Linked DNA regions of Arabidopsis thaliana. The protein of the gene in region 1 interacts with the protein of each later gene in a pairwise test. Each region holds a gene or a part of one and is shown on either strand. Other genes may lie near its edges. The genes, in order: AT5G06770 and UBA1A.

The links.
Region 2: the proteins of AT5G06770 (region 1) and UBA1A interact in binary tests that used the Arabidopsis thaliana proteins (3 or more experiments, as listed by UniProt).

Annotation. Positions count from the first base shown.
Region 1 is NC_003076.8:2,086,941-2,098,411, reverse strand, and holds AT5G06770 (KH domain-containing protein / zinc finger (CCCH type) family protein), read left to right. Parts: upstream 1-5,410; 5' UTR 5,411-5,624; coding exon 5,625-5,703; exon of another isoform or gene 5,704-6,232; coding exon of another isoform or gene 6,233-6,245; coding exon 6,246-6,306; exon of another isoform or gene 6,307-6,833; coding exon of another isoform or gene 6,834-6,892; coding exon 6,893-7,475; 3' UTR 7,476-7,709; downstream 7,710-11,471. Other genes in the region: AT5G06790 (cotton fiber protein), read left to right, coding at 1-324; EML2 (Emsy N Terminus (ENT)/ plant Tudor-like domains-containing protein), read left to right, coding at 2,035-2,142, 2,211-2,320, 2,415-2,523, 2,636-2,794, 3,321-3,389, 3,595-3,822, 3,900-3,968, 4,066-4,129 and 1 more; LEA4-5 (Late Embryogenesis Abundant 4-5), read left to right, coding at 8,099-8,185, 8,269-8,658; AT5G06755 (uncharacterized protein), read left to right, coding at 9,125-9,245, 9,327-9,565; AT5G06750 (Protein phosphatase 2C family protein), read left to right, coding at 10,167-10,488, 10,858-11,234, 11,437-11,471.
Region 2 is NC_003071.7:9,384,973-9,395,406, reverse strand, and holds UBA1A (RNA-binding (RRM/RBD/RNP motifs) family protein), read left to right. Parts: upstream 1-4,900; 5' UTR 4,901-4,956; coding exon 4,957-6,000; 3' UTR 6,001-6,357; downstream 6,358-10,434. Other genes in the region: AT2G22120 (RING/FYVE/PHD zinc finger superfamily protein), read right to left, coding at 135-243, 349-495, 874-959, 1,255-1,381; AT2G22100 (RNA-binding (RRM/RBD/RNP motifs) family protein), read left to right, coding at 1,862-3,010; AT2G22088 (uncharacterized protein), read right to left, coding at 6,358-6,605, 6,867-7,023; AT2G22080 (uncharacterized protein), read right to left, coding at 7,410-7,814, 8,314-8,442; AT2G22070 (pentatricopeptide (PPR) repeat-containing protein), read right to left, coding at 9,445-10,434. UniProt on the Arabidopsis thaliana protein: Acts as a component of a complex regulating the turnover of mRNAs in the nucleus. Binds with high affinity to RNA molecules that contain U-rich sequences in 3'-UTRs. May function in complex with UBP1 and contribute to the stabilization of mRNAs in the nucleus.

The DNA.
Region 1 (11,471 bases):
GTAGTGCCTGTCTCTGCGCCAGTGCGTCTCCCGGAAGAGCTCTACTTAGCTCATCTCGTACACGAATCGACTTGGGAGTCAATGTACTCCACTGAATCCATGGATGGTCGCGATGATGATGATCAAGAACCATCTCAGCTCTCTAGCTATCTAAGACAGCTAGAGGATAAAGTTAAAGACGGCCAAGAAGAGGAGACAGAGACGATGATGAATGAGATTGATAAATTGGCTGATAGGTTTATAGCAAATTGCCATGAGAAGTTCATGTTGGAGAAAGTTGATTCATATAGGAGATCCCAAGGAACCCTGAATAGAAGCGGTTGATAACGATGATGATGGGGCCTAATTTGTATCTTTCATTTCTTTTTATGTGATTTCACTTTTTCCTTCTTTTCTTCTTTTGAAACTCCTCACATGCATAGTTTGAATTATCTGAAAATGTGTATTGGAAGCATAGGGATATATGGATTGTGTGGTGTTTGTTGTGTTACAGTCTAATGATGATGATATTGATGGTGGTGGTTTATAAACTAGAATAGACGACAGTCCAAAAAGGAGAAGAGAGGATACAAATGGAATGGATTTTTGTAACTTTGGCTTTTGTGGTTTATGACGTTCTTTTGCTACTATCTTCTGATATTGTTGTTTTCTTTTGGTTGTATACAACGGGACCAATTTCGATTTTCAGTTTACTTATCTGACTTTTCTAAGATCCATCAGAAATAAAATATTTCCTTAAATAACATCATTATGCAAAAAATTAAGATAGTGTAACCTTAAAAATGCTAGACAACATATAAAACAAGTTATATTTAAAATATCAAAATGTTGATAAAATTTATAAAGTGTAAATTTTAATTTTCAAAATCTCAGTTTTTCCTAAATTATATAATTGTATTAACTAAAACTACATTAATTTAAAATTATTTATTAACTTTATGTAATATCAATTAAAAATAATATTCATATATAGTTTAAGCTTATGCATAATGGAGCTTATATATAGATAATTTTATTTTTTATGATATATAAAAAATTTAAACATTAAATTAACAAGCCTGATTCTAAACAATTTTAGCATAAAAACCAACTTTTATTTATTATAAATACAAGTCTTAGTTTAGACTTTAGAGACTCCAGTAGAGGTGCCTTAAAAAAAACATACATTTCATATTTTCATTAACAGTTTGGGCCAAACAGGCCTATGTTATCATAAAATAGGCCCAAAATGAAATTAAACAAAAACGCATCGTCTTGTCTTAAGCTGCTTCCGACCAAACTAAGGTTTCTCTCTCCTCCAACTTGGAACTTCCCGTCTTCGATCTTCTCTTCTCTCTCTCTTCATCGCACGCTGTGCCCAGCCAGCTCAAAACACTGCACTTCCGCTTTTTATCAAGATCAATCTCTACCAATACTTAGAAAAGTTCTTTCCTTTTTGTCAAATTCTTTCAATTTCTCTCTTCAATTCCCTACGAATTACTCACTTCGGATCCAATCAGCTCTTTATAGCCTCTGCGTTTGGGAGTCAATCTTTCTCTCTTCGACAATTAAGGGTTTCGTATAAAGATTGCTGTTTTACGACAGGATTCTGAATAAGGAGGTATAATTTCTGTTTTGTACTTAGTTTGAGCGATTTAAGACATTTCTCTTTTGTCCATTGAGAGATCTAACAGTTCTAGGGTTTGAAATATCACTGGAGTTTAAAAAAAAGGGTTTTACTAAATTATTCTCTTTCTTAGGGTTTAAGATATTCTTTTCACATTCTATTAGATTGTTTGATCATCTCATGTCTATTTTTTTTGCTGTCCGAATATTCGCTTAAACTAAAGTTATCCAATTTCTTGATACAATAAGTCCACCAATAAGCTCCTACATTCTCATGAGACCTCGACTGTCAAAATTATTCATGAATCTGATTAGTGCCAATGTTTTTCGTGAAGTACCTGAAAATTTAGTAGTTTGTTAAACTATTGATGTTATAAAGTGTTTTCTACATTTCAGAAGAAGGGTTGGTTTCATTTGGATGGAAAGTATATGGTAGGTCTACACATTAATATGGAAGCGCAGATTCATATACTTGAGCAGGAAGCTTATTCTGCTGTATTAAGAGCTTTTCAAGCACAGGCTGATGAATTTTCTTGGGTAAGTCCTCTTTCTTCCTTTTGCCATCAAAAGACAAAGGATTTGGCTTATATGGTTTCATTTTATAGGATAAAGCAACCGTGATGACAAACCTACGTAAAGAATTGAGGATATCTGATGATGAAAACCGACAACTGTTGAACAATGTCCATAATGATGATCTTATCAAAAGAATAAGGTAACGAGTCTGATCATTTGTGATAGTAAAGCTATGAATCTAGATTTCGTTGTATCTTGTAATAATGTGTTGTATGATGGAACTGGACCAACAGAGATTCGAGACCAAGAGGTGGAAACCAGGTTGTTAGACATCAGTCCCTCGATGTTCATCCTAGTCCGACTTTTTCAGCTTCTCGGAAGAAACAGAAGACGTTCCAATCCGTAAGACTTCTTGTTTTAATCTTTGGTCATAGAACAACAAGCAGAGGATATCTGTATTTGCATATGGTTTTCTGTTTATTTACTGATCATATCATTTGTGATACACATGCAGTATCCGTCGATTGGTTCTACTAGAAGTAAGTCATTCAATAACCGTGTAGTATCAGCAAATGAACCTGCGGAAGCTCTTATTGGAAGAAAAGTGTGGACAAAATGGCCTGAAGACAACAGCTTTTATGAAGCAGTAGTTACACAATACAATGCAAATGAGGTAACTTCTGATGGCTGAGACCTTTTTATTGAGATTGAATCAGAAATTCATATGTTCAGCATTATATATGTTTGTGTGTCGAGGTGTCTCCTGTACTTCGAATATCTGACTCCAAGGCCTCAAAGCCTGATCGAAATTTACCGTATAGTTCAGAGTTACTCTAGTGAGTGAGCATTGCAATTACTTTAGGTTGATTGTAACTGTGTAGAAAGCTAAGCAACTAGTCGAATCGCTTAGCTAGATAGCTCACTAGTTAAAAAGGAAGTTTAGGCAGAATGAGCCGGGGTACTCTGGATTAGTCTAGGATCATGGTTTAGGCATTTGTCGAAAGACTTCTCTAGTTAATCAAGTCTCTCTATAGTGTAGTTCTTGATGAATTGAAGAAAGGAGGTGTTTACTGTTAATGTGCATATGAGGCGTTGAAAAGTATACTATGACTTTGATATATCTAGAAGTTTGGAACTGTATTTAGCGTTGAACATAGCTTAAGTATATTGTAATTGATGCATTCATTGTTCTCTCGCAGGGTCGACATGCGTTGGTATATGATATAAACACAGTGAATGAGACATGGGAATGGGTTGATCTTAATGAGGTAATCTTCACGAGTTTTTGATATTATTAGGTTTTTAAGTTTTTTGTGGAAAATGCTGCCAAGAATGTCTTTTGGGTAAAGTTACATTTGTTTTTGGAGGTAGCTTTCATTAGTAAGATTACGTGGGAAACATTTGTATAGTGTATCCACCTAGTATGAAAACATTTTCAGCAGAATCTGAAGTTAGTTAGTTATATAATTGTAGATTCCAACGAAAGATATAAGATGGGATGGAGAGGAAGATGGGGTAACTTTGAATGTAGGACATGGCGGTGGAACAACTCGTGGGAATCGAAGGACCTTAAGCCATGGTGGTAGAGGGAGAGGTCCAAGAACTCAGCCAAGAAGAGAACATTTAGCAACGGAAAACGGTGGTGGGAGGAAGTTTTTCGGTGAGATTGAATTGTTCAACACAGACTCACTTGTGAAAGAGGTAGGTATCTCTATCTCTCTGCATTTTGTTTCTCTTTAGGCAAAAAGGGTTTTTGATGTCGAAATCTTTCGCATTAGGTCGAGAGAGTTTTTGATTCAAACCTTCCTGATCCACATGAGCTTGATAAGGCCAAGAAGCTACTCAAGGTGAGCGATATGATAATTGATAAGAACTTTGTGACGAGATATCGATTGAAAGAAACAGTGAAGTGAAACTTGGTGTTGTTGTTATTGGATGATATAGGAACATGAACAGGCGCTTATTGCTGCCATTGCAAGGCTTACGGATGCTTCTGATTACGAAAGCGGTAATAAATGTGAACAGCGGCCTTTGTTTATTTCTATTTGTCATGCACTAAGATCACTAACAACAACATAATTTGTGCTGGTGAACCAGATGGAGAAGAACCGTATTCGCATGAGCTTCCAATGCTGCTGGGGTGAGTATGTATGACACCATCACCCCTAGGAAAAATGACTAGCAATATTTCTTTTTCTTCTGTTTTGCTTTAAGGGATCCCAGAAAATGATTTTGTTCATATATGATGAACAATTAGTAGTATTCTTCTAATTTGTGGTTTCAGAATGTATGAAAATAATCGTTAGGAATTTTGTTTGTAAAAACACTATTTTTAAAAAAAAATTCTGAACTTGTGTGATCATCATCAGGCTTGCCATCAGGATCGTTAATAATTTACTTGCTCAAATCCCCAATTCCTGTCTAAACAATGTAAAAAGAATCGAACCAAGCATGTAAATATTGAGAAGAGGCTTTTGACCTTTGAGCATAACATTCAAAATCTGATTCAATTAGCAAGAATATAAGATGGAAAGTGAGATCAACATAAATCACCTGTCACTGAATCCTTCAATTTTAAAAATATTTCAATGGTTACTTTACTTCAATTTATTTTATTGTTTTAAAAAAATATATTCAATGGTTATAAGAACGGTTAACAATAAATTAGTATCAGGGTTATCGTCTTATCGACCCGATGTTAGAAATTTTTTATAATTTTTCTTTTGTTAAAATGACAATCTTAATTCTTAATGGCAATTATATGTTCAATCTTAATGGCAATCTTAAACCGATCGATTATTCAAATTATATGTTCCGTATTTTTTTTAGATTGAATGTTATTGATAGAGTTATCAGAAAAAAATACTACTTTTTAGTTTAAATTACTGTGATTATGATAAAAAATTAAAACGCGCCAAACTTAACGATTTTTTTCCAAAATTTCTACAAATGACTCGTTACCCAAATTATTTTTTCTGTATTTTTTGAATATATTAAAACTAATGTGACTATGATAAAACAATTAAAACGCGCAAATTTAACAATTCTCTATTTTTGAAACCACTGGATGTGAATTAACAATAAATATAAAGTAATATGTGTACAAATAATCAGAGTTGAATATTTTTTTGGTGTTTATTACTTGCATGAGTACAAGTTTGATTCCAGTCTCATCAAATAAACTCTATTATTGTCAAAACATAAATTCATTCTAATGTTAATGTATATACTTTAAATTTATAGTAATCCATATAATTAATAATGGAATTAGTCTCCTGGTCTTTTGGTGTTCCACGAATTAATTTATATTATTAACAAATTAAGCAAACCTCTATCCCCCATTTATATTGTTGAGCTGTGTGTGTGGAGATGATGATGATGATGATAAACCCAATAGAATTTTAAAAGGATAAGAATCGCAAAGCTCATATCACAAAACTTTGAGATCTCATTTCATCTTTCTTCGATTCTACCTACTCCGATTCAATCGATCTTATCGAGACATGGATGCTCGTAAGAGAGGACGCCCTGAAGCTGCTGCCTCTCACAACTCCAATGGCGGATTCAAGAGGTCTAAGCAAGGTTTGTTCTTTCACTCCTCTCCTTCCTATTGTCTCCAATTGGGTTTTAGAAATTCGAGATCTTCACAACAAGAGAGAATGTTTTGGTATCACTTATGTTTGTTCATTTCTAGTTGCAATGTGTGCTCTGTCTCTCGTAAAGGTTGTTCCTTTGTTCATTTTTGTGTTCATTAGAGAGATTAGTCGCAAACCCTTTTTCTGCTTCAGTCTGGTATTACCTTACTTGAGAGTTGGGAGACAATTGATATGAGAAGTTTGTATCTTGTTCTGCTTTGTGTTGTGCTATTGGCTTACCCTTCTTCTCATATTCATTGGATTCATCAATCAACTCCCATTAGCCTTTGTGACCACTCAACATTACTGGATTTACTTGATTGATATATTGATCTGTATCAACTCAAGCTGTTGAGTTCAATTTCAAAACTCTATAACCCTGGAAATTTTCAAAACCAGAATGGTATACTGGTGCCAAGTCCAAATGATATGTATTGAGAAAATTGTAGAAAAGTTTAACCAAGTAAAAGCACTTAATGTTTGCAACAGAGATGGAATCAATTTCAACTGGTTTAGGAAGCAAATCCAAGCCATGCACTAAATTTTTCAGGTTATAAATCTATTTTTTTTCCTGATTGGATCATGAAATTAAGAAGTAATACTGTATAAAGTGTGCTAATGAAGTGGATAGTTGTTATACAGGTACGTAGCACTGTTCATCCTTAAACGAGTTAAAAAGTCAATGTAACAAACTGTGATTCCTCCTAAGAATGGATGATAAGCTTATATGGAGTATAATTTTGGAACTGAACTCTACTGGTGAATCTAATATACAAAATCAACCAAAACTTGTTTTTGTGGCTGTCGTTGTAAACAATTTGTTTATTCTTCTTCTGTTTGATGGTAAGGAAACTGTAATTTTGCATATGCAGCATAAAACCATTGTTCTCAAGTAAGGTTCTTCTTGCATTATCTTTGAACTATCCATGAGTCTTTCGGCTCCTGTGCAACGTGTTGTTCATCGGTGATGCATAATGACTACAATCTGTTTTATTACTTTATAAATTTCTTTCATTATCTTTGTACTAAAACGCTATAGCTTTTTCGAGAAGGTAGCAATAGTGCAACAGCTTGGAGATGTGTCGTTTTGTTCTTTCTCGAATGAATTTGCTGATGCATTATGGTTTGTACTGCAGCACTTCTGGATGTCCATTTGGTGACAATTGCCACTTCTTGCACTATGTGCCCGGTGGGTACAATGCTGCAGCGCAGATGACAAATCTCCGACCACCGGTTTCTCAAGTTTCCAGAAATATGCAAGGATCTGGTGGTCCCGGCGGCAGATTCTCAGGGAGAGGAGATCCAGGATCAGGCCCTGTTTCAATCTTTGGTGCTTCTACTTCCAAGATCAGTGTAGATGCTTCTTTAGCCGGTGCCATCATTGGAAAAGGTGGAATCCATTCCAAACAGATATGCCGTGAAACAGGAGCAAAATTATCGATTAAAGATCATGAAAGAGACCCAAACTTGAAGATTATCGAGCTGGAAGGAACATTTGAACAGATCAATGTAGCGAGTGGGATGGTGAGAGAGCTTATAGGGAGGCTTGGATCAGTGAAGAAACCTCAAGGGATTGGTGGTCCTGAAGGGAAACCACATCCTGGGAGCAACTACAAAACCAAGATCTGTGATAGGTACTCTAAAGGGAACTGTACATATGGAGATAGATGCCATTTTGCTCATGGTGAATCTGAGCTGCGCAGGTCAGGAATCGCTTAGTTATGTCTTTAGACTCTTGAGAACAGATTATGCATTGTTAGCTCCATTATCATTGTGACTTTTTGCTCTCTCTTTTTGTTTTATCAATTTGTTTTATGCGACTCGCTTTGAAAACTTTAGCCCATTCTGTATTGAGCTCTGAAGATTCGACGAGTTCTGTAAGTTACCGATCACAGTTAAAAGACTTTGATATGTTAAAACCCTTATATTACAGCTACATACTATTTTTGTCTTAACTCTTAAGATATCATGCACAATAATATACTTGTTTTGTCTTAACCTATCGATTACAAAACCGGGTTAACCGCCGACATGAGGCGAACTCTAAAGCCTAACACGCGTCAACATCTATCTTCTCAACGACTCAAAGGCTTTCCAACACGTGTAGGACCAATAACTGAAACACAAAGCCTACCACCTCTTCTTCCTCTTCTTTCATGACACGTCTCACTGACGTGTCGTCAAGAACGTAATTAAATATTAAACTATCGTGACGAACGCGAGGCCTATGGCTATATCTATGGGACATGCTCGGTGAGCAAAACAATAAACAAAAGTAATCAGAAGATATCTTTGTAACATCTTTGAATTTCGCTAAAGGAAAAGAGAGAGATTTGGTAAAAATGCAGTCGATGAAAGAAACAGCTTCGAATATTGCAGCTTCTGCAAAATCTGGCATGGACAAAACCAAAGCTACCTTGGAGGAAAAGGTAACAGAATTGTGGTTATTATTAATTTATTGATGTAAAATAATAAAAATGGTGTAACGTTGGGTTTGTTTTGTCTTCAAAAGGCGGAGAAGATGAAGACACGAGACCCTGTTCAGAAACAGATGGCTACACAGGTTAAAGAAGATAAGATCAATCAAGCTGAGATGCAGAAGAGAGAAACGCGTCAGCACAACGCGGCCATGAAAGAAGCGGCTGGAGCCGGAACCGGTTTAGGTTTGGGGACGGCCACTCACTCGACCACTGGACAAGTCGGACACGGCACTGGGACACATCAGATGTCGGCTCTGCCTGGTCACGGAACGGGACAACTGACCGACCGCGTTGTGGAGGGCACGGCTGTGACCGACCCGATTGGAAGGAACACTGGAACTGGTCGGACAACCGCTCATAACACTCACGTTGGTGGTGGTGGTGCCACCGGGTACGGAACCGGCGGGGGATATACTGGATAAACGGTGTTGTTCACTTGTTCTGTTATTTGCTCTGTTTTTGTTGAATCGAAATTTCGTGGTTTTCTGTCTTACTTTCGTGTTCTGTTTTTTTTTTTTCTTTTTCTTGTGCTTCTGAATAATTGTAGGACTTCGATCTCATCTAGGTTTTTGTTGTTGGATGATAGTCTTACTTTATGAGTAGAATGTTCATGCAATGTAACAGTAGTAAAATTATCCGTTAACAATATTGTGCCCATGCAACTTAACAATAACAATACATTGCTAACTTTTTGAACTTTGAAGAGAAACATTGCTAATGCTAAGTTTTTGAAGAGAAGCATTCGCATCATATTTGAATTAATCTACTATGTTATCAAAGAAAAATTATTTCTCTGCGCAATGGGTTTGTATAAAACAACATGTACCATGCGTGAATATTCTTAAAATAGTCACTTCGTTTTGAACCATGAAGATTTTTAACGATTAGATGATCATTGATCCGACATTAGTATTTGAAGTACAAAACCAAAGTCAAAAGACTCACAATTATAACCTTTACAGTTTTTGGTACGTTTTCGATTTTCACGCTGACTCTTCTTCCTTCTTCGGTTGCTCTATAATCGTCCAATCTGATTTGGATCTTCGTTGGTGTTTTTTTTTGTGGTTGTAGGAAGAAAAATGTCTTTCAGTTTTTGGAAAGGAGGAGGCTAAACATGGAGTGGAGATGGCTTTGATTGATTTGGATGCTTTTCAGTTTTTTGTTAACATGGAGTACAACGATATGCACGAGACTCCACTGGGATCTCATAGTATCCAAGCTGATATTGATGATCCAACAACTTTGAAGTCAAGACCACAAACTCATGATGTAGAACCTAATCAGTTTCCCATTACTTCCTCATCAAGGGATCACCCGCAAGGAGCGTGATATTATCAAGCTCAAAGCCCAGTTTGTGGCTGATTTTGGAATGCCTTTTGGGCAGGATTTGGTGATGAAGAGTGTGTTTATGAAACCTGAGCTTGAGCGGTTGATCCTCTGTTTAGGTTTGTCAAATGCTTTTAACTTTTTTTAAGAAGAAACGCGTTTTTAGACTTCTATTTCTAAATAAATCGACAAAAACAAAAATATGATGTAAGATCCTTGGTAATACGTACCAAAAATCACGTCATCAATTGAATTTAATTTTAATTTATAGAGACAACTTTAATTTACACAAATCATATTTTTCACACTTTGCTTCAACTACTCTCTCACTCTTGAAGACCAACGAAAGTCTTTTCCTTTTTCTCCAAAAATCTCACATTTTTTTTCTTCAGTTTCATCTAAAAAGATTCAATTCATATCGAAAATAAAAAAGGAACAAACTTTGCTTTTTGTTTTCGCAATCTCCGATTCGTTAACTCGTTTTCTCTCTTCACCTGTTTCAAGCTTTTCGATCCAACAAATCACGAGATTCCTCTTTCCGGTGTGGTCTCCGGCGACCTAAAATAAAGAGTTAATTCTCGTGGTCGTGGAGAGCAAATGAGGGATGTTCTCCTGGTTAGCGAGAATGGCTCTTTTTTGTTTACGACCTATGCGGCGATACGGTCGTATGAACAGAGATGATGACGATGATGATGATCACGACGGTGACTCTTCTTCCTCCGGTGACTCCCTTCTTTGGTCTAGAGAACTCGAGAGACATTCTTTCGGAGATTTCTCTATTGCTGTTGTGCAAGCTAACGAGGTTATTGAAGATCATAGTCAAGTCGAGACTGGAAACGGTGCCGTTTTCGTCGGAGTTTACGATGGTCATGGTGGTCCTGAAGCTTCTAGATACATCTCTGATCATCTCTTTTCTCATTTGATGAGTTAGTTTTTTTTAATCTCTTTTTGTCTTCTTCAAGTCAAACAAAATCTCTTTTTGTGTTCTTCAAGTCAAACACTAAGTCCACTTTGATATTCTGTGTCTGTGTGTGTTTCTTCTTCTTGATTTGGTTTTGATGATCGGATAATTTTTGTAGAAAGTTGAAATCTTTATGCATCTGATGAACAGTGAAGTGAATCTTGACTTTTTCTTTATCATTTTTTGGTGAGCTACCTACTTTTTGGCAGGTTATCTTTGTCTTGTGTGTCTCTCTGTTTGTTCGTTTCTGGATTTTTGTAGCTTTGTCTTGTTCCTTTTGTGGATTACAATGGTTTTCATTAGCTGCTTATTGATTAAAGTTTTGATCTTTTAGGAGTTTCGAGAGAAAGGAGTTGTATTTCAGAGGAGGCTTTAAGAGCTGCATTTTCTGCTACTGAGGAAGGGTTTCTCACGCTTGTGCGAAGGACTTGCGGGTTGAAACCGTTGATTGCAGCTGTTGGATCTTGTTGTTTGGTTGGAGTTATTTGGAAAGGGACTTTGCTTATCGCTAATGTTGGTGATTCTCGTGCTGTGCTTGGTTCCATGGGTAGTAATAATAATAGGTCAAACAAGATTGTAGCTGAGCAACTGACTAGTGATCACAATGCTGCTTTGGAAGAAGTTAGACAAGAGCTTAGGTCGTTGCATCCTGATGATTCACATATCGTTGTCCTTAAACATGGTGTGTGGCGCATCAAAGGCATCATTCAGGTTTGCAAAGCTCTCTAATCACATATTTAAATGCCTGTGACACTATGATAAGAACAAAGCTATGAAACTGCTATTATTATGGTTCCAATTCACTAAACAAGAGAGACTTGATTAATGATTAGCTCTTTGCACAAGTAGACAGACCCTTTGTGTCATCTTGGCTTATCAAACTATAAGTCAATATTGTGTTTCATTTGTGCAGGTATCTAGATCAATAGGGGATGCATATTTAAAGCG
Region 2 (10,434 bases), on another chromosome or scaffold:
AGGACTGTAGGACATATGTACAATAATAAACTTAGCATTCCCGTCTTACCAACTACACTTGGCAGAGGTCTTACTAAAAAATATTATCTTATCTAGAGGGGAATTTATTTAGATATTAAAGTTTGGGATCATACCACACATGTAATAAAACGTGACCTCACTGTCAAAACCCCATATATGACGAAGCCATGATTGCTGGTAACTATCTATGAAATAGACCATGTAGGCCAATGCAGCAATCACCTGTGAGCAGATGAAGTCATTTAAAAGGCATGAGTTAGATATATTACCAAATGAAAGAAAAACTACTGTAAGAAACAGAAGCACACATGAAAAATGAATACTTACAAGCTGAACAGCAAGAAATATGGATAAAATGTCTCGAGTAACAAAGAAGCGAAACTTCAATGTCCGCCATTTCCTATCTCCAGCACTGTGAACTCTCAGATAATATGGAGCCTTGCAAGTTGTGCAGTGCGCAAACGCGAAACCTTCCTGCAATAAAACGAGCTTACCAGGCGTCAACATCTGCTATTCATTATTTTACCATGATACTACCAAAAACACCACCACTCTAATCATCACTCATGAAACATATATCAACTCTGAAAATTTCACATCCAAAACCATCATTCTTTAGTTGTTTAGCCTTCGAATGGTTTTCGTATTCAACAAAAATAGAAATTTACAACAAAAGGGAAGTTCCTATTCAATAACACTTACACAGGTTGTCATATTTGATTGAAAATGGAAGGGATAACAACAAATAGTCAAAGAGTGAAAGCGAGCATTCATAGCTTTCAAGTTTCAAGTAACACTAACGACAGCCAAGCATGGACCCAAGTTGAGCTAAAGCGTATGAAAAAATGGAACCTTTATAGCTCTCCAATGATCCAAGCAATCACGATGTACATACTTTGATGTTCCTTTGCATTTGCATGGGGCAATGAAATCCCTACCTGACCATGATCAATAAATGAGCTTGAATCAACCAAGTAAGTTAGAACAAAAGCTCTCTCACTATATCACGGTTTTAAATCACTAGTCTTTTATAAAAAAAGAGTTTATCACTAACACTAATCTAAATCACATCAGAACCATTAACGATCTAGCCAATTCGAATTTCATAATCCGAATTCTTGAACTGAAGTTAGACATATCTATGAGCACATGAAAATGTTCAACAATCACTAGCAAGAAGCAAAGAATCTATTTAAGGAAGAAGCGAATCTAAATGGTTTTAGAAGACATTACCATCAGTTTCAAGGCAGATTCGGCACTGAATTTGTTCACCAGGTCCTCCAGCTTCGAGATCGATCTCGGAAGGCTCGACCATCGGCGACGGTGGAACCAACGGCGACAATTCCAGTTCGTCCGCCATTCAATTTCGAAATCTGGGTAAAACCCACGAATACCCAGAAAGAGAGAATAGAAAAGATCGAGACTTCGTCGAGCTATGATCCGATTTCGTTAGTTTAGCATTTATCGGTAGGTTTTTGTTGCCGTTAAACAAGTATGTGAATTGACCCGTCACTCACCGGTTCTTCGCCGGCACACAAAAACCAGAAATGTTGTATCTTTTTCCTTTTCTGTATTTTGACGTTTTTGCCCCTCTACTAATTCATGTTAAAAAAAAAAATTATGTGTTGCAAAAAAAAAAGCATGTCTGAGCCCGGGTTCGAACCGGGGACCTCTAGTGTGTGAGACTAGCGTGATAACCGACTACACCACCCAGACGTTTTTGTTAGACTCTTTACTTTATTATAAATATACTTAAATAATCTAGTGTTCTCTGGTGCACCCTATTTTAGAGGAGTTACTCTATTCAGAGTGTTTTTTTTGGTAGCCACTGCCGTCAACAATGGCGAAAGAAGGAGAAGAACGTAAGAAGGAGAAGAAAGAGAAGAAGGAGAGGAAGGAGAGGAAGCGTCGCGAAGCTGAAGAACTCGCTGTAAGAGAGAAGAAAATCTCAAAAAAACATAAATCGAAATCCAAAGAGGAAGAGAAACCAGAGAAATCAAAGAAGAAATCGAAGAAATACGAAGAAGTAGAAGAAGAGGAGAAATCTCCATCTCCATCTCCATCTCCTAAGAAATCGAAGGAGAGTAAGAAGAAACATAAGAGATCATCAGATGAATCCGAAGAGATCGTCGATTCAAAGCCTGTTACGGTCCCGATTGTTACCATTGAGTCTGATTCTGATTTCGAATTCGATAAGGAAGATATTAAGAATCTACTTGAATCTTACTCTAAAGAGGAGCTTATTAACCTAATTTACAAAACTGCTGAGAAAGGTTCTAAATTGATCTCAGCAGTGTTTGAATCAGCGGATAGAGATAGTTCTCAACGGAACATATTCGTGCGTGGTCTTGGATGGGATACAACGCATGAGAATCTCAAGGCGGCTTTTGAGGTTTATGGGGAGATAACGGAATGTTCTGTGGTTATGGATAAAGATACAGGAAGAGCTAAAGGTTTTGGCTTTGTGTTGTTTAAGACGCGTAAAGGAGCGAGAGCGGCGTTGAAGAATCCGGAGAAGAGAATGTATAATCGAACTGTTAGTTGTTTACCAGCTAGGCCGTTTAATTCTGGAAAGCCACGAGAACAACAACAACCGGTTGAGTCTGTGAAGATTGATTTGAGTCATACGGGTAATCAGAGTGAAATGGCTTTGCCTGGGATTGATTTGGGTCATGGACTTGATAAGGGACATCAGCAGCAGCAGAATATGTCAATGTATGCTGGACAGAACATGCCCTTTTATGGACATTCTCAGCCTCCTCCTGGTTTTAATCCTATGTATGGTGCAATGATGGGTAATCCGATGGTTGCTGGTTTACAGAATTATCGTATGTTTGGCTCGGGTATGATGAATCAAGGACCTATGATGCCACCGAATCATATGGGAATGGTGGGACAATATGTTGGTGATGGTAATGTTAACGGTGTTGGTGCGGGTGCTGGTGCTGGTGCTGGTTTTGATGGTGAACGTGCTTGGTATCTGAGATAAGAGAACCCAAGTGGTATGACCATGTTCTCTGATATTTCAAGTTATAGATTAGGCTAATGATTAGTCCGGTATCTTCGACTCCAACTTGATATTTTGGGAATTGCAGGAGTTTTTTTTGCGGATCTTTATTTTCTATGCCTGATGTTTCAAACCTACTTTTTTAGTTTCATTATTTATAGTCTCTTTTAACGAGGTATCTACCCCTATATGAGCCATTTTGAGGGAGATGTGTGCTCAAAGGATGAATTTTCTGTTGCTCTCTGGAAGTCTGTCATTGGTGTTCTGCTCTGTTCTCATAAACCAGTGAAATGTGGTCATTTTGTCTAGAAGATTTAGTTACTAGGATCAATATTGGTTTAAAGTAGTTTGCTATCTCTTTGTTTTCCCTTTTGGAGTCCCCCATTATGGTCTTCTGTCTTCTCCTTACCCATCAAACTCACGTCTGGTTTTCTTCTGTGGCATGGCGTATGTTTTTCTCTTTTGTTTTTCCTTGTTTTTGGTTTTATGTTTTCCCGCATTTTCATTGAATATCTGTTCGCTATAGCTGGAGAAGAAGCTTATGACATTTATAGTTTTGTCCACTATATGTCATAACTGCCAAAAGTCTGTATCTTCCAGCTGCAGTTGTCTTGAGACCCGTTTGTAGGATCAGACATAATGGTTTTACATTCTTGTTTTAAATCTGTCTTTTTGAGTACTGGAAAAAGTTTTGGGACTCTTTCAAAAGCTTCAAGTTGATTTTCTCTGGAATAAACAACCTGAGTTTTCTTTCCTTCAAGCATTGTTTTCTTCCCCATAGGTTTTTATAAGCTTCTCAATCTCTTTCATCACATTCCTCTTTTATGGTAGTGTCGCCCCTTTCTCTTTTGTATTTAAGAGTCCATTTTGATATCAGTTGCCAAGTTTTCTTGCCTAAGTTCAAGATTGTTTTTGGTCATCGGTACTTGGACCCAATTTGTTTTTCACCTTACATAGCTTTGTTCTGGATTTACCTTTTTTTTACCTGCTCGTTATTCATATTCTATATAACTCTGGTTATGGTAGCAAAGCATACTTGTTTTTTTTTTTTTTTTCTTTGGATTTTCACAATGACCTCACAGTGACCGATGATGCGAATGCTTGTTTTCTTAAGAGGATCAATCTTGTTTTCAGTTTTTCGATTTCTTAAGAGGATCAATCTTGTTTCTCGGTTTTTGGTCTTCTCTGCAGCTATCCATCCATCCATATGAATCAACTCGTATTAATCTATAGTATGCTTCAGCTAAATCAACTTTGGTTTGGTTTTGGTCATTTGATTTCGTTGTTTTGTGATCATGATCTTATGAGGGCTTTGTTTTTCTTTCCAATGGGGAAACTCTGAAAATCTTAAGAACAAAAACAAAACCCTCTCTAAGATCTCGGTGACTATTTTTTTAGTTTCTCATAACACATAAAGATAAAAAAGAAAGAAAAAAAAGTTTCAACTGGTGAATGAATAAACAAGTAGCAGAGCGACACCACCAATATGGCTAAAACCTCTGCCTAGCCAGGAATCTTTTCTGACGGCGCTCTAAAAGAAAAGTACCACAAAGTTCACACCCCGTAAAGTTAGGGAGCTTATGGTATTCCGGTTGATGTATAGCCATCATAACTTAAAGCCAGCATCTTGCCATGTAACCTCTACAAAGATCTAAGGCCTTATCTTAAATATAAAGCAAATATTTAAAAATATGTAAAATAATAAAAATATTCAAAATAAACCAATCCAAAAATAATCTAAATATTTGAAAATATATTCAAAGCAAAATACTCGAATAAAAAAAAAATTAAACTGAAAAAATCGGAAAAACGACATCTCGAGGATAAAGTAAATCGAACTCTTGACCCGAGGGGAAACAGGAAACTGAAATCAAAAATCAAAAATCAAAATCCCTAAAAGCTTCTTGACTCGTTTATCCTCTACTACAATGGCGAAAACCCTAGACAAATCTAAGAAGCGCAAACTCGTGAAATCCAAATCCACGAATTTCGATAAGAAACAGAAGATTAACAAACAACAACAACAACCAGAATCCTCAACGCCATATTCAAGTTCAAGCTCCAGCTCTGATTCTAGCGATTCCGAATCAGACAACGAATTCGACCCAGAAGAGCTCCGTGAGCTTCTACAACCTTATTCCAAGGACCAGCTTGTCGATCTAGTTTGTTCCGCTTCTCGAATCGGATCTTCGATCTATTCCGCCGTCGTAGAAGCCGCAGATCGTGATGTTACACACAGGAAAATCTTCGTTTATGGTCTTCCATGGGAGACGACTCGCGAGACTCTTGTTGGAGTCTTTGAAGGTTATGGTGAGATTGAAGAGTGTACCGTTGTTATAGATAAGGCTACTGGTAAGGCTAAAGGGTTTGGATTTGTTATGTTCAAGACTAGGAAAGGAGCTAAAGAAGCTCTTAAAGAACCGAAGAAGAGGATTCTTAATAGAACTGCCACTTGCCAGCTTGCTTCTATGGGTCCTGCGGCTTCAGGAAAGGGGCATGATCAACCTGGTCCGGTGAAGATTAGTATGGGTTCGATGGCTAATCATGGACAGCCTCAGCAACAGCAGGTACAAGGTCAACATGTGTTTAACGGTGGTGGAATGGCTGCTTCGCCGTTTATGTTAGGGAACCAATACCATCCGCTTTATGGAGCTGGGATGTTGGGAAATCCAGCTTTAGCAGCAGCAGCAGCAGCTGGGGGAGGTTACATGTATCCGATGTTAGCGGGTGCTCTAGCACATGGCGGGTTGGGTTCTGATATGGTACAGTCTAGTCAAATGGGTGGGATTGGTGTTGATCCAAGCGTTGGTGCTGCTGGTCTTTCAGCTCTAGGTTCTTACTTTAGAGGTCAGAGTCTGCCTAGTACTTATCCTGATTCGGATGCTGGTGGAAAAAGAGGGACGGGTAAAGATTCGGATGCTGGTGGCTCCTCCTTTCATGGCTACTCAAACTATTCATGGTACGTTCACTGAAACCTTTGGTGTTTTGTAGCAATGTTTGTGCTAATATTGTGGTTTGAATGTCTTTGGATAAGCATAAATTCATTGTAGCTCCGTCATGTGTAGATAAATGGATTAAGGCTTTTGTGGTAGTACCGGAATTTTATCTGACATTATTATGCCTCTCTAGTCAAATAGTTGGCTTAAATGCCTAAATATGTATATTCCTAGGAGGAACTGCTACAGGAATTAAATACCTAAATTATGTTCTAGAGGTAGGTTAGCATTGTCATCGGTTGCCGTAATTCATTATTCATGAATCTTGCTTCGACTCTATTTCAAGTAGATGCAATGTGACCCACCATACTTTTGTTTTTTTTGTTTTCTCCATTATTTTTCCTTTTGTTGGTTTATGTTTTGTTTTCTTTTCTTTACTGTCCCTGGTTTTACAGTTTTCTCAAGTGCCATTTGTTTTATCGAAGTTAGTTTCTCTATAGGTTGGTGATGGTGGGGACGAATATTGTTACATTCTTTTTGTCTCTTGGCTTTTTTTGTTTTAGTGTTGCACTGGGTTTTATAAACTGAACGTCCACCATCTCTCCACTCATCTGGTTTTGGTGCTAACGTCTTTAAACGGACTGTAAACTATAGCATCTGTTCATGCTGTTGCACTCATGGTTTTAGACTTAAGTTTGAGTTTTAACATTTTTTTTATGTTTGTCCCTTTGATTTCTATTGTTTTCACTTTTCGGGGTTATCTTACCAGAAAGATAGAGCATTGCTCTTGTTTCCATATGTTTTTCTTTTTGTCTTCAGCTTTTGATAGAGTTATGTTTTGTTTTGTTTTCTTGAACTCCAACTTTTGCAGATGGTGTGGGCTGAGCATGAGAATGATAAACATGCAGTTTCTGGGGATTTCTTTTTAACATTTCTATCAAAGTCAGTACGTTTTAGTTTTTTTTTGTATTGTTTTTTCTTCCTTTCTTTTTTTTTCTGTTTGATGTCACTCTTGTCCGATATCATACGATAGACAGTCTGTGGCTCAAGTAATATCATTGTGATTATTCGTTAAAGACCTCTGTGCAATCTGTATTGTGACCTCTGGGGAAAAAGGTTTGCTCTATGAGGACTCAATAGGATTTAACTTTCTTTTAACTATTTATGACAGCTAAAGTTGACCCTTGAAGTTGTTATATAAATTTGATCGCATTTGATGACCTCATAGAGATATGCATATATCATTAATGATGGGCTAAAGAAAAGAAAGCTGGTGCCATTGGATCTGAAAATGTTACACTAAACAAAGTCTTGGTTTATGGAACAACAAAGACACAGTTGAAGCTAAAGCTGATGATGCCTTAAGATTCTCTCCTCTTCAGGTAAAAACCGATAACAAGTTTTGATTTTTGAATCTAAAATGTTAGGAGATCAAAGCGGTTTGTTCACTTCTTCCTCTTCTTTGGTGGCTGAAGCGCTTCCTCATCATCTTCATCTTCTTCCTCTTCCTCCTCCTCTACCTCCGCATCCTCATCGTCGTCTTCTTCACCACCATCATCATTCTCGTCTTCATCCTCCTCCTCATCTTCATCATCGTTCTCATGGTTATCATCATCCTCGTCATCGTTACCATCATCCCCTTCAGGTTCATCATCATTATCTCCAGCTTCACCGTTCAAATCAGGATCACTTACCGGTCCTTTCTTGGTCTCCTTTCCTTCTGCATCATCTGCACTGCCTTCTTCGTCTTCTCCTCCATCATCACCACTATCATCATTGTTTCCATTGCCTTCCACTGCATCAACCACCTCATATCCATTCTCTATAACATCACCCTTCAAGACAGTAACCTGCAGCTTCATATTCATTTTATCACTACCAGAAACAATCTTTTACCAAGTTAACATGATTTTACAAATTGGGCCGACATACTAAATTAGGACATGGGCTTCTTCTAGACATTAAATTTGAAAAACTTGGAAGCATAATATATGGAATATACCTTTTTGATTTTTTTTGGACCTACAATTTATAATTTAGATTTTAAAAATCTATCTTAATATTCCCCATTAAAAGCAACCGTCCTCAACTAATAGCTATTATTATATACATACCCTCACAATATTTAACCAAAACTTTTTAATTTTATATATTTTTCCAACCACCCATTCTGATGAAGTAACGCTTCAAGTCGGTCAAGATTTAGTTTTGTAGCCAAAAAAATTTGTGTGAAACTTTTGTGTAGAAAAAAATCTATTTTTATAAAGTTGTTGTTTTGTGCGACCGCGAATACTTGTAAACGTTTGTTAAGAAGGAAAAAAAAAAAAGTTGAAAATAGAAAAAGCTTGCCTGAGAGAAGAGCTCTAGCAAAGAAGAGAGCATAGTAGCCGTTAAAGCCAAAGCGGCGCAGTTTAGCACTAAAGCGTTACCGAGAACCAGAGACAACCTCATACTCATACCTTGTTCTTTCAACTCCATTCTTTCTTCACTCTGTATTTAACAGTTATGAAAACCGTTAGATCTGCAATAATAATAACTAAAGCAAAATTTTCAGACAACTTTCTTGTCCATTTATCAAATATGGAGCAATCTTCGTTTTGAAGTTATTGACGAGAAAAAAAAAAGACAAAACAGAGCAATCATAGAAAGAATCATGAAAAACAGAGGAAACAACCAAGTTTAGAGGTTGTCCTCTACTTCAATATTTGACAACATACAAAACAATAATCTAAGAAACAAAATAAACAGATACAAGAAGAAGAAGAACGTACCAAAGAAAAGCTCTGTAATTAGCGGAAAAAGGAAGAAAGAAAGAGAAAAGGACTAGAAGAAATGAGCTCTGTTCATTAATGGAAAAAGTGTGAGATTTGTGATCAAAGAAGAGTTGTTCAGAATCTCAGATATAGGAGAAGAGAGAGATGAGAGATGAAAGAGAAGAGTGTGAAGCTGCCCGTAGTTGTTACTACGAATCCTTAGGGCAGTACGGGCAGTGACTCTATGTGATCATCTCTAATTGACCTGCCACGTAAGCTACACAAGTGTGGGCTCTCTCTGTTAAGTCATACATTTTATGCCGACCAAGATCTTTCTTCATCTATGTATTAATGTATGTATGTAGTCAATGGTTAGTAAAAACTAAAAAGAAAAGCTTTTGGTAACAAACAGAACCATATTCTCTTCTTCTTCTCCTTCTTCTTCTATACTTCTTTCTGATTGTTCCAATTCCATTTCCTCTTTATGCTTTTCCCAAAAATATCTCAATCGTTCATTATATCCTTCTCCTTTAGCACTAAAGACTCACATGCCATGTCATCTTATTCTAATGCTCAATAACTATGATGATGATGGAACTTACATACCAATTAAACAATGAAAGAGGAAAACTTTTGTTGGTTTCCCTCCAACGAAGCCATACCTGAATCTGTTCTGTACAATGGCTTGAGTTAGACCTTATGAGAATTCTTTGGATCTTCCTTATTTTCACCAATAATCTCGGCAAGAACAAAACCCATCTTTGAAATGGTGAAATCTTGTTGTATCTCTCACTATGATTTCCCTTCCCACAAGCTTGGAAATGAACTTTATAGCCGTGTGGCAATCATTGCACACTCTGAGATTCTTCATGATCCTCAATGTGGTTTTATCCGGAGTGCTAATTAGTCCAAATGCGATTGCTAGTTTCTCGCTGTGGTGCCTTAGAATCTGTTCTTTAACCTCTTCTTCGAGGTCGTGTAGTACAGAAGCTGTGTCGGGAACATAACCCATTTTCTTGATCTCGTCCCAAATCTTCTTCATGGTCATGTAGATCTCGTTCTTCTCTGGATGAGTCCCGTCTTCCACTCCAAAGACATGGACTTTATGCTTCACTTCAATCCAGCTAAACCCTTGTTCCTTCTTTACTCTTCCATCTTTCATTGATTTTCTTATCTTAGCAGCTTCTTCCCATTTTCCACAAGCTGAGTATAAGTTAGCCAAGGCTGAGTATGCCCCGCTGTTCTCTGGCTCGAGAAGAAGCAATCTCTCTGCTGCAACTTTCCCAAGATCGATGTTCTTGTGAACTCTGCAAGCAGAAAGCAGTGAACCCCATGTCACTACATCAGGCTCAATAGGCATCTTTTCGATGAACTCTTGTGCTTCCTGCAATAAACCAGCACGTCCAAACAGGTCCACCATACAAGCATAGTGGCTAAGGGTAGGTATAATCTTATCAACGTCCTTCATCATATCGAAGTATTGACGACCTTGGTTGACCAAACCGGCATGAGTACAGGCAGAGAAAACACCAACATATGTTATGTGATCAGGTCTTAGTCCTTCCATCAGCATTGTCTCAAAAAGCTCAAGTGCTTCTTCTGCGTGACCGTGCTGTGCCAACGCGATAATCATGGATGTCCACGATACTGTATCCCTCTCACAGCGTATCAAATCAAATGCCCGGCTTGCCGATGTAATGTTACCCGCCTTTGCATA